Linked DNA regions of Ovis aries. The protein of the gene in region 1 interacts with the protein of each later gene in a pairwise test. Links are inferred from orthologs where the notes say so. Each region holds a gene or a part of one and is shown in the gene's direction. Other genes may lie near its edges. The genes, in order: RHEBL1 and TXNL4A.

The links.
Region 2: the proteins of RHEBL1 (region 1) and TXNL4A interact in a two-hybrid assay, tested with the Homo sapiens proteins (2 studies listed by BioGRID and IntAct). The link is inferred for Ovis aries from reciprocal best matches to the Homo sapiens genes RHEBL1 and TXNL4A.

Annotation. Positions count from the first base shown.
Region 1 is NC_056056.1:137,162,007-137,166,268, forward strand, and holds the start of RHEBL1 (GTPase RhebL1), read left to right. Parts: upstream 1-1,164; 5' UTR 1,165-1,364; coding exon 1,365-1,416; intron 1,417-2,026; coding exon 2,027-2,098; intron 2,099-2,433; coding exon 2,434-2,501; intron 2,502-2,772; coding exon 2,773-2,855; intron 2,856-2,945; coding exon 2,946-3,002; intron 3,003-3,202; coding exon 3,203-3,250; intron 3,251-3,586; coding exon 3,587-3,668; intron 3,669-3,839; coding exon 3,840-3,929; 3' UTR 3,930-4,262.
Region 2 is NC_056076.1:701,185-705,646, forward strand, and holds the start of TXNL4A (thioredoxin-like protein 4A), read left to right. Parts: upstream 1-1,457; 5' UTR 1,458-1,536; intron 1,537-2,014; 5' UTR 2,015-2,029; coding exon 2,030-2,182; coding exon of another isoform or gene 2,183-2,261; intron 2,262-3,892; exon of another isoform or gene 3,893-3,953; intron 3,954-4,251; coding exon of another isoform or gene 4,252-4,321; intron 4,322-4,462. UniProt on the Homo sapiens protein: Plays a role in pre-mRNA splicing as component of the U5 snRNP and U4/U6-U5 tri-snRNP complexes that are involved in spliceosome assembly, and as component of the precatalytic spliceosome (spliceosome B complex).

The DNA of each region.
Region 1 (4,262 bases):
CATCAACAGCAGCTTTCTAGGTATTTAGAATTAGCCCAAACTACTTTACATGGGCTAGCACCTGCGATCCTCTTAGACTTCATCTACTTTAGGCTAACTGGCTTTCTCTCTTTTCTGGATTTTCACAAACTTATTTCCATCCTAGTGCCGGTGGATTCTTCTGTCTGAATGTTTACCTAGCTGGCTCCTTACTGTCATTTGAACTTCACCTTGAATGGGGCTTCTTTTGAAATGAAAAGCCACTAATTTGTGTCACTAATGACTAATCCGTCATTTCTTATCACAGTTCCCCGCCCCCCCCCTTTATTTTTATTTATTTGTCTGCACAGGGTCTTAATTGCAGCATGTGGGATCTTAGTATCCTGACCAGGGATTGAACCCCCGCCCTCTGCATTGGGAACAAAGAGTACTCTGCCTTGGACCACCCAGAAGTCCCTTGTAACATTGCTTTTTTTGTTGCACTTAATATTATCTAACATTTACTGGTTTATGTTTGTTTCTTCCCAACTGAATTTTAAGCTTGTGAACTCAGAGACCTTATCTATTGTGTTCATCACTCTTATCTTCCAAGATGGAGCAATAACTAAAACATATAGTATATGCTTAATAAATATTTGTTGAACAAATAAATGCTTTGATTGTGATAACGATAACAGCTAAACCTCAGAGGACTTGGCCACAAATTCTAACAATTTTTCAAGGAATAAGAATCGCAGTTCCGAAGTTAGATCCTGGAAGACTACAGAAACCTTACAATAAAATATCTGGGGCTAAAGTTTGGAGGGGGATATATTACAACTTTGGCCTTTTTTCCCTACCCAAGGACTCCGGAGATCTTGCAAAAGGGAGACCTAGAATCTTTTAACCATAAATTCCAGCCCAGCCACAACGCTTTTCCATCCACGATTCTTTGCAGCCACTATTACTAGATTGCAAACGCGCAAACACCTCTAGGACCCCGGGTTCCTTTCTGTTTCTTTATGAATGAACCGGGTCTAGTGTGCGCATGCGCAACTCCTTTTTCTCCCGCTCCACGTGAGGCCCGCCCTTCCCTCCTGCTAACGGCTCCGCCCCTATCCTTTCTAATGGACCAATGGCGAGCGGCCTGGGGGGCGGAGCCCTGAGCGGCGCGGCAGTGTAGTTCCCCGGTCGCCCGGCTCCCTCGCCTTAGTCTTGCTGTGTTGTGATCACGTGGCCAGCTCCGGGCGCGGCGCTTGTTTTGGTTTCCCTCTAGCTTGCCCCTGGCAGCTTCAGAGTGAGCGACTTTCCTGTGCCGGTTGCCACACCTGACTGCACTGCGACTTTCTCTTCTTGGGGCTCTCTCAGCTCCAAGTTCTGCAAGCCCCTCGGGGCCGGCTCCTGCCATGCCGTTAGTTCGCTACAGGAAGGTGGTCATCCTCGGATACCGTTCTGTAGGTGAGTCTCCCTCTAGGGCAGAGCACCGATGCACCGCGGCTTTGTGGCCAGAGGAGGCGCACTGCCGCGGGAAGGCGACCCAGGGAGAAATGGTGGCATCCTTAGAACCAGCTTGTAGAGCGAGGACTGAAAGGTTGGAGTGGGAAAGGCTGGGGTGGTGGTAGTGTTCAAGGCGGCAGGAAGCTGGAGCATGGAAGAGTATACATGGGCTTACTGCTTGAACACCACAGTGGTCCTCAGCGTTCGTTACTCTGGGGGGGTGGAGATGGGGGCAGGATTTGGTGGCGGGGGCGCGGTCTGGGTGGGGCAAGTCTCAGGTGTCGGATGCAAGGCTGACTAAATCCTGGGGAATCCGGATCTTCCCAGGAGTTGGGTGGGGAAAGACTGCAGGAAAAGCTTCCTGCGTCGCTACTGTATGCATCCGGTGGCCAAGGTGCAGAGACCTGGGGCGAAAAGAGGGTGAAGGAGTCTATGGGAAAGCATTGCATGGGGCATTCACAGGCTAGGATGCTAATTCGGGGTTTCCTTTAGTCCAGGGCCACAGCCCGAAAGGACAGAGGAAATGAATGTGGATGGGTGATTTGGCTACAATTACCTCTGCTTCCCACAGGGAAGACATCTTTAGCACATCAATTTGTGGAGGGAGAGTTCCTGGAAGACTATGATCCTACTGTGGAGAATAGTGAGTAAATTTCTCCTCTTGGGGTGGGGTAGGGAGGGCTTAGGTGCCCCACCCAAGGCCACACTTTGGGATTTTCCGGGTGCCAAAGGGATGATTTAATTAGATATTAAATCGAGTCTCTTCTCTATCAATCCTGTTCTGTGAGTGGAGCTAGAGTGTGCATTTTCCAAGATACTGAGTCCAGGATAGTGCATGTGTAGACAATAAGAAGCCTAACATTGTATCTTAAGTTTCCTGGAGAGCTCCTTGAACCTGGCCCATCTATGTTAATATATAGGGGCACAGATTGCTCGCCGTACAAGGCACCTCACAGTCAAGTTTTCTTTTCTTTTCAGCTTACAGCAAGATAGTGACTGTTGGCAAAGATGAGTTTCACCTACACCTGGTGGACACAGCAGGGCAGGTACCAGTTTGGGGTAGGGTGTCTAAATGTGGCAGTTCAGTCCTGGGAGATGAAGTCTGGTAGCCTCTGAGGCTCATCTGTAAAGCAGTATTAAAAGCATTTTAGCAGTATTTCAGTGTGCAGTGTTGTTTGGAGCTACTCTATAAATACTTGTTGGATAGAAGTGACCGGAGTAGGGAGTGCCACAGGGAGGGTCCCCAGGATGCAGCCCACCAAACTTGGCCATCTGAGTCTTGTGAATCAAGGTATTGATATTTCTGTTTCTTGTCAGGATGAGTACAGCATTCTGCCCTATTCATTCATCATTGGGGTCCATGGTTATGTACTTGTGTATTCTGTCACCTCTCTGCATAGGTAAGTGACCGAGGTTGAGAGTGGTGGACTTGGGAAGACCTGAGGGCTATCCCAGAATAAAATTGTAAGATTCTTTTCTTGTGTTTAAAGCTTCCAAGTCATTGAGAGTCTGTACCAAAAGCTACATGAAGGCCACGGGAAAACCCGGTACGTGGCACAGGGGATAAAGACATAGTGTGGACACCACGGAAGACGGAGGGCAGAGGGGAGTATTGATCCAAATTAAGGAGGAAGCCGGAACATCGATCCTATCTGGTTTGATGGGGAGTTGTCCAGCTATGATGTGAAGGAGGTTGGGGTCCATGGGGAACAGAGGGGATTCTGTTGTAACTGCTGTCTCCTCCCAGGCTGCCGGTGGTGCTGGTGGGAAACAAGGCCGATCTCTCTCCAGACAGGTATGGAAATCTCTGTAGCTTAAGGCAAAGGAAAGTGTCTAGGAGTGAGTCAGGCTCTTGTCCTGGCTCTGCCACTGATTTAAACCAGTTGTTTTACCTCTTCGTTTCTAACTTGAAGGTTGAGACAAAATGATCCTTCTATCTCAAAAGCTATAATTTCATATTTCAAGCCTCAGTCCTAGGTTCCTTTGTTTTCTTGTATTTTCTTCTTCCACAGACGTTCTCCCAAACCTTGGAATGAGATGAGTCAGAGGAAGTCTAGTTTCTGTAAAGATTTTTCAGAGAGCATGGGGCCCATTGCTATTTTTCATTTTCATGTCCTGAATTTGCTTCTAGGGAGGTCCAGGCTGTTGAGGGGAAGAAGCTGGCAGCATCCTGGGGTGCAACATTTATGGAGTCATCTGCTCGGAATAATCAGGTATTGGGCCTGAAGAGTAGGAGGGTGGTGGGGGCAGCAGTGTTTTTCTTTTTATGCCACTGCTTGGTGGTGGGGATGGTGGGGGAGTGGGGCATTCACCTAAGAGTTGGGTAGTATTGGCAGTGAACTCAACCAATTTTTTTTTTTGCCCTGAATCCTTATCCCTTGCAGCTGACTCAAGGCATCTTCACCAAAGTGATCCAGGAGATTGCCCGGGTGGAAAATTCATATGGGCAAGAGCGCCGCTGCCATCTCATGTGAGCCTGGAGATGAGCCCTTGAGCAAGGGGCAGCTGCCTTGATTCTGCCCCTGGTACTTTCCAAGCTCCAGTGGGGGCTTGTGGGGGCGCTCTCAGGACTTCACGGGTTTGTTTGGTTGCCAGCTGTGTCCCTGGCCCTCTAGGCACACAGTGAGGTACCCTCATGTTTGCACACTTACCCAGGCTCCAGTGGCCTGGTTGTCCATGTTTACAAAGAGGCAAGGATGTCTCATGGGCACTGTCCTCTAGCTCTGTTTTTGCTAAATAAATGAACTGTGATAACCTATGGGGTTGGGATATGAGTCCTGGGCACTGTTTATTCAGGACCCAGTCTC
Region 2 (4,462 bases), on another chromosome or scaffold:
AAAAGCAGAGACATTACTTTGCCAACTAAGGTCTGTCTAGTCAAGGCTATGGTTTTCCAGTGGTCATGTATGGATGAGAGAGTTGGACTGTGAAGAAAGCTGAGCGCCAAAGAATTGATGCTTTTGAACTGTGGTGTTGGAGAAGACTCTTGAGATCCCTTGGACTGCAAGGAGATCCAACCAGTCCATTCTAAAGGAGATCAGCCCTGGGTGTTCTTTGGAAGGACTGATGGTAAAGCTGAAACTCCAGTACTTTGGCCACCTCGTGCGAAGAGTTGACTCATTGGAAAAGACTCTGATGCTGGGAAGCACTGGGAGCAGGAGGAAAAGGGGACGACAGAGGATGAGATGGCTGGATGGCATCACGGACTCAATGGACGTGAGTCTGAGTGAACTCCAGGAGATGGTGATGGACAGGGAGGCCTGGCGTGCTGTGATTCATGGGGTCGCAAAGAGTCGGACACAACTGAGCGACTGAACTGATACTATTTAAATTTTACGATAACAATATGACCAACCTAGACAGCATTTTAAAAAGCAGAGACATTACTTTGCCAACAAAGGTCAGTCTAGTCAAGGCTACAGTTTTTCCATTAGTCATGTATGGATGTGAGAGTTGGGCTATAAAGAAAGCTGAGCACTGAAGAATTGATGCTTTTGAACTGTGGTGTTGGAGAAGACTCTTGAGAGTCCCTTGGACTGCAAGGAGTTCCAACCAGTCCATCCTAAAGGAGATCAGTCCTGGGTGTTCATTGGAAGGACTGATGCTGAAGCTGAAACTCCAATACTTTGGCCAACTGATGCGGAGAGCTGACTCATTTGAAAAGACCCTGATGCTGGGAAAGACTGAGGGCAGGAGAAGGGGAAGACAGAGGATGAGATGGTTGGATGGCATCACCGACACAATAGTCATGGGTTTGGGTGGACTCCGGGAGTTGGTGATGGACAGGGAGGCCTGGCATGCTGCGGTTCATGGGGTCGCAGAGTCGGACACGACTGAGCAACTGAACAACAAAAAATGTTTAGAAATACTAATTTCAATAACTTATTTGGGGGGCATTTGCGTCTTACCAGTACTCTTCTGTTAATGAACCGCTTTTCACAAGTAAAGCAACTGTGCTTGCGTCTGGAAAGCAGGGCCTCCAAAATAATTAGGGGGCTCTGTGTGGGAGTGAACGGCGACGAGCCCTTCTTCAGAGAGGTTATCCTCTTCGTTCACTCCCTGGTCCCAGTCGCACCGAGGAAACTTGAACGCCGACTCACTGGAGACACAGTAGGTCTGAAGCAGCCGCCGCCTCTAAGACGCTCATGACACTAAACCCACCTTCAGCCCCAGTACCTGAGCGGAGTCCACGCCCCTGCCCGGCCCGGGCGCGCGCACGCACTGGCCGGCGCACACGCTCTGCGGGCGCGCGCACGCACTCGCCGGCGCTCACGCTCTGTGGGCGGGCGGGCTCACTCGCCGGCGCTCTCGGCCTGTGGGAGCGCTCCGCGCCCGGAAGGACTGCTGAGCGGGAGGGTCCGGTGTGGGCAGAGGTGGGTGCGCGGCTGGAGACGGTGGGAAGGGGGCGGCGAGTGATGCGCGGGTGTGCGATTCCAGGGGTCCCCTCGCCTTGGTTTCTTGGCCGGGGGACAGTGGCGTTCCTGTGGCGGGATCGGGGTCGGAACTTGGTAGACGCGGGCCTGGCCCTGCGGGCGGCGCATCGACTGCCCCTCGGGGTGAGCCCCCGTGAGCCGGGGGCTCCGTGGGCTCCGTGGTGAGGCTCCGTGGGCTCCGTGGTGAGGCTCCGTGGGGTGGGGCCCCCGTGGTGAGGCTCCGTGGGCTCCGTGGTGAGGCTCCGTGGGCTCCGTGGTGAGGCTCCGTGGGCTCGGTGGTGAGGCTCCGTGGGCTCCGTGGTGAGGCTCCGTGGGGTGGGGCCCCCGTGGTGAGGCTCCGTGGGGCGGGGGGTCCCGTGGGTGTGCCATGGGGGGGCTGGGAGGAACTGGCCGGTGATTTCCCTCCACTCCCCCGCAGACCCATTGGCTCAAGATGTCGTACATGCTCCCGCACCTGCACAATGGCTGGCAGGTTGATCAGGCCATCCTTTCGGAAGAAGACCGCGTGGTCGTCATTCGATTTGGGCACGACTGGGACCCTACCTGCATGAAGATGGATGAGGTTCTGTACAGCATTGCTGAAAAGGTAAAGCAGCCACACCTCCCGTCACGTCCTGCCGCCAGGTTTGGTGTTTGCATCCTGTCGGATTGCTGTTGTTTTGCCGGTAAGAATTAAAAGTACAGCCAGTTCACCGGTTAAAGAGAAGCAGTAGGATTCACAGAAGTACAGACATACCTTGGAGTATGAGGATGGGCTCCCTGAAATTGGTCAGAATAGCTTATATCCTTACTGGCAGAAGTTTCCATAGATTCTCAAATTTTTAAGAGGTTCATGATGTCTCTCCTTGAAGAAGTGATTCTTATTAATTTATAGCGGTTTTAACTCATAGGTGTTTTCAAAAATTTACATCTATAGTGCCAGGAGCAAAACACGTTTGCAGCATTTGGCTGAGTGTAGGAGCTTACTTTGAATGGCTTAGTTTAAAAAACTTGACTTTTTTTTGGTACCGTGTTTGTTTGTTGTATGTATTGAGCAGAACATCTATGGTAACAACATAGTAAATTCCCTTCTTTTTCTTTGAGTCCCTTCTTTACCCCAGGGTGCTCTTTGTAAGTGACTTGATTTATAGCTTAGAGTGATACCAGTGTAGGAAACACTGGGAAAAGGTAGAACTGTAATGTTAGAACTAGTTTTCCTAATCCTTAAATTTAGTACAGGGGGTTGTCTGTGGCCCTTTGCTGACAATAAAGAGCAATTGTAGGGTACTGTTGAGTAACTAGGGCTTAATTCTCTTTCTGTAATTGTCTCATGGGTATTTTAAGGTAAATTTGATTTAGATTTTTGCAACTGTAGTAATAGGGCAAGAGGCAAAAATATTAGGGTATTAATAAAAAGTTTAATATTCAATGTTAATTTGAGAGGTTATTCATTTTATTAAAGAGTATAAAAATAAGGGAAACATTGAAGCCATCATTTATTTCACAGGAGTAAGATATGCTAGTATGGGCTGGATTAAAATAACTCCTTTGAGTAAAGAGTAACAGGTGTAAGGATATAGTTTGTATTTAGGAATTGAAAAGTAGTCTGACCTGCCATCAGTAATTTTCACTGTCTCCTCTTTGGTAGGACAGGCAGAGTGAGGTAGGGGTGATGGCACTCTGAACATTAGGGACTATCTTTCTGTGTCTGTCACCGAAAGTGCATCTCAGAGAGTCTGATCCTGGAGATCTGAGATGAGATCCAGAAGCTCCCCCAGGAATTCTGAATCCCTTCAAGGAGATCCAAGTCAGAGCAGGAGTCTGTGGTGATAACCTTACCCTCCTCTTCCTCTTGGACAGAAAGGTGTTGAGGGAGCTTGAAGAGATGCCTGGGGAACTCAGGAGAGCAGGGTTCTTCCAATTGGGTCCTCCCTGTCAGGTCCGAGGTCAGGAGTGAGGTGGTGCCCAGAAGTCATTTCCCCATGACTTGAGCCACAGTGGTTAAGGGCAGAGACTGCAGAAGTCAGTGATGATGGATGAAGACCCTGTTTCAGTAAGTGAATCACTGCTGTGTGGACGCTGATGTAACTTAGGTGGGTGTTCTGGGTTCTGCCTTGCAGGTGACAAGTAAGCATCAGGGGATGTCCAGACCCGGTGGCCCTCAGCACGAGGCTAGAATGGCAGAGGCGTGAGGGTTGTTTGCTGTTCATATCTGAGCAAAACTCAGCAAGATACTCTTAGCTAGGAGACAGATTTTGTGTCAGTGTAAGTTTTTAGGGACTTTTACCAGAATTGTTCTTTTCTAATCCCTATGTAGCGGTCAGAGACCAGATTGCTATACTGCTAGCAGGTGGCTCTTTTTGGAATGGAACCTGTTGGTAAGAACAGTTTAATTGGGCTCACTTGGAGTATTTTTCTCTAGTCTTTTAAGTGATTCTTTTTCTTTTATCCCGATTTCTATTTTAATAAACTTCTAATACTATGTAATAGTATAGTCTTTAAAAATGCAAACTTGAAATGCGTTACACAAATGTTAATGTTCTATTTTCTGCTTAGTGTAAGGGCAGAATATGAGTTTATAATTTTGGAAGCCCTTTTTGGGGACGTTCAACAGGAATTTTTGAAATCTAAGGTTTTAGTATAAAGAACAATTTAACTGTCTATCTCCCTCTGCAGAAATGGCAGATAATGGGAGATCTTCCTCATCTTGTTACGAGCTCTGTTTGGATACCCCAGCTGTTTTAAAGTGAGTAAAATTCCAACATTGAGGCTGGACTTGATTATACTATTCTCCTGGAATGTGTTTTATTGACTGACTGCTTCAGCAGCCCCAACCCCACCTCATGCTGGATTAGTTTTGAGCTGTACTGAAAACATAGAGATACGT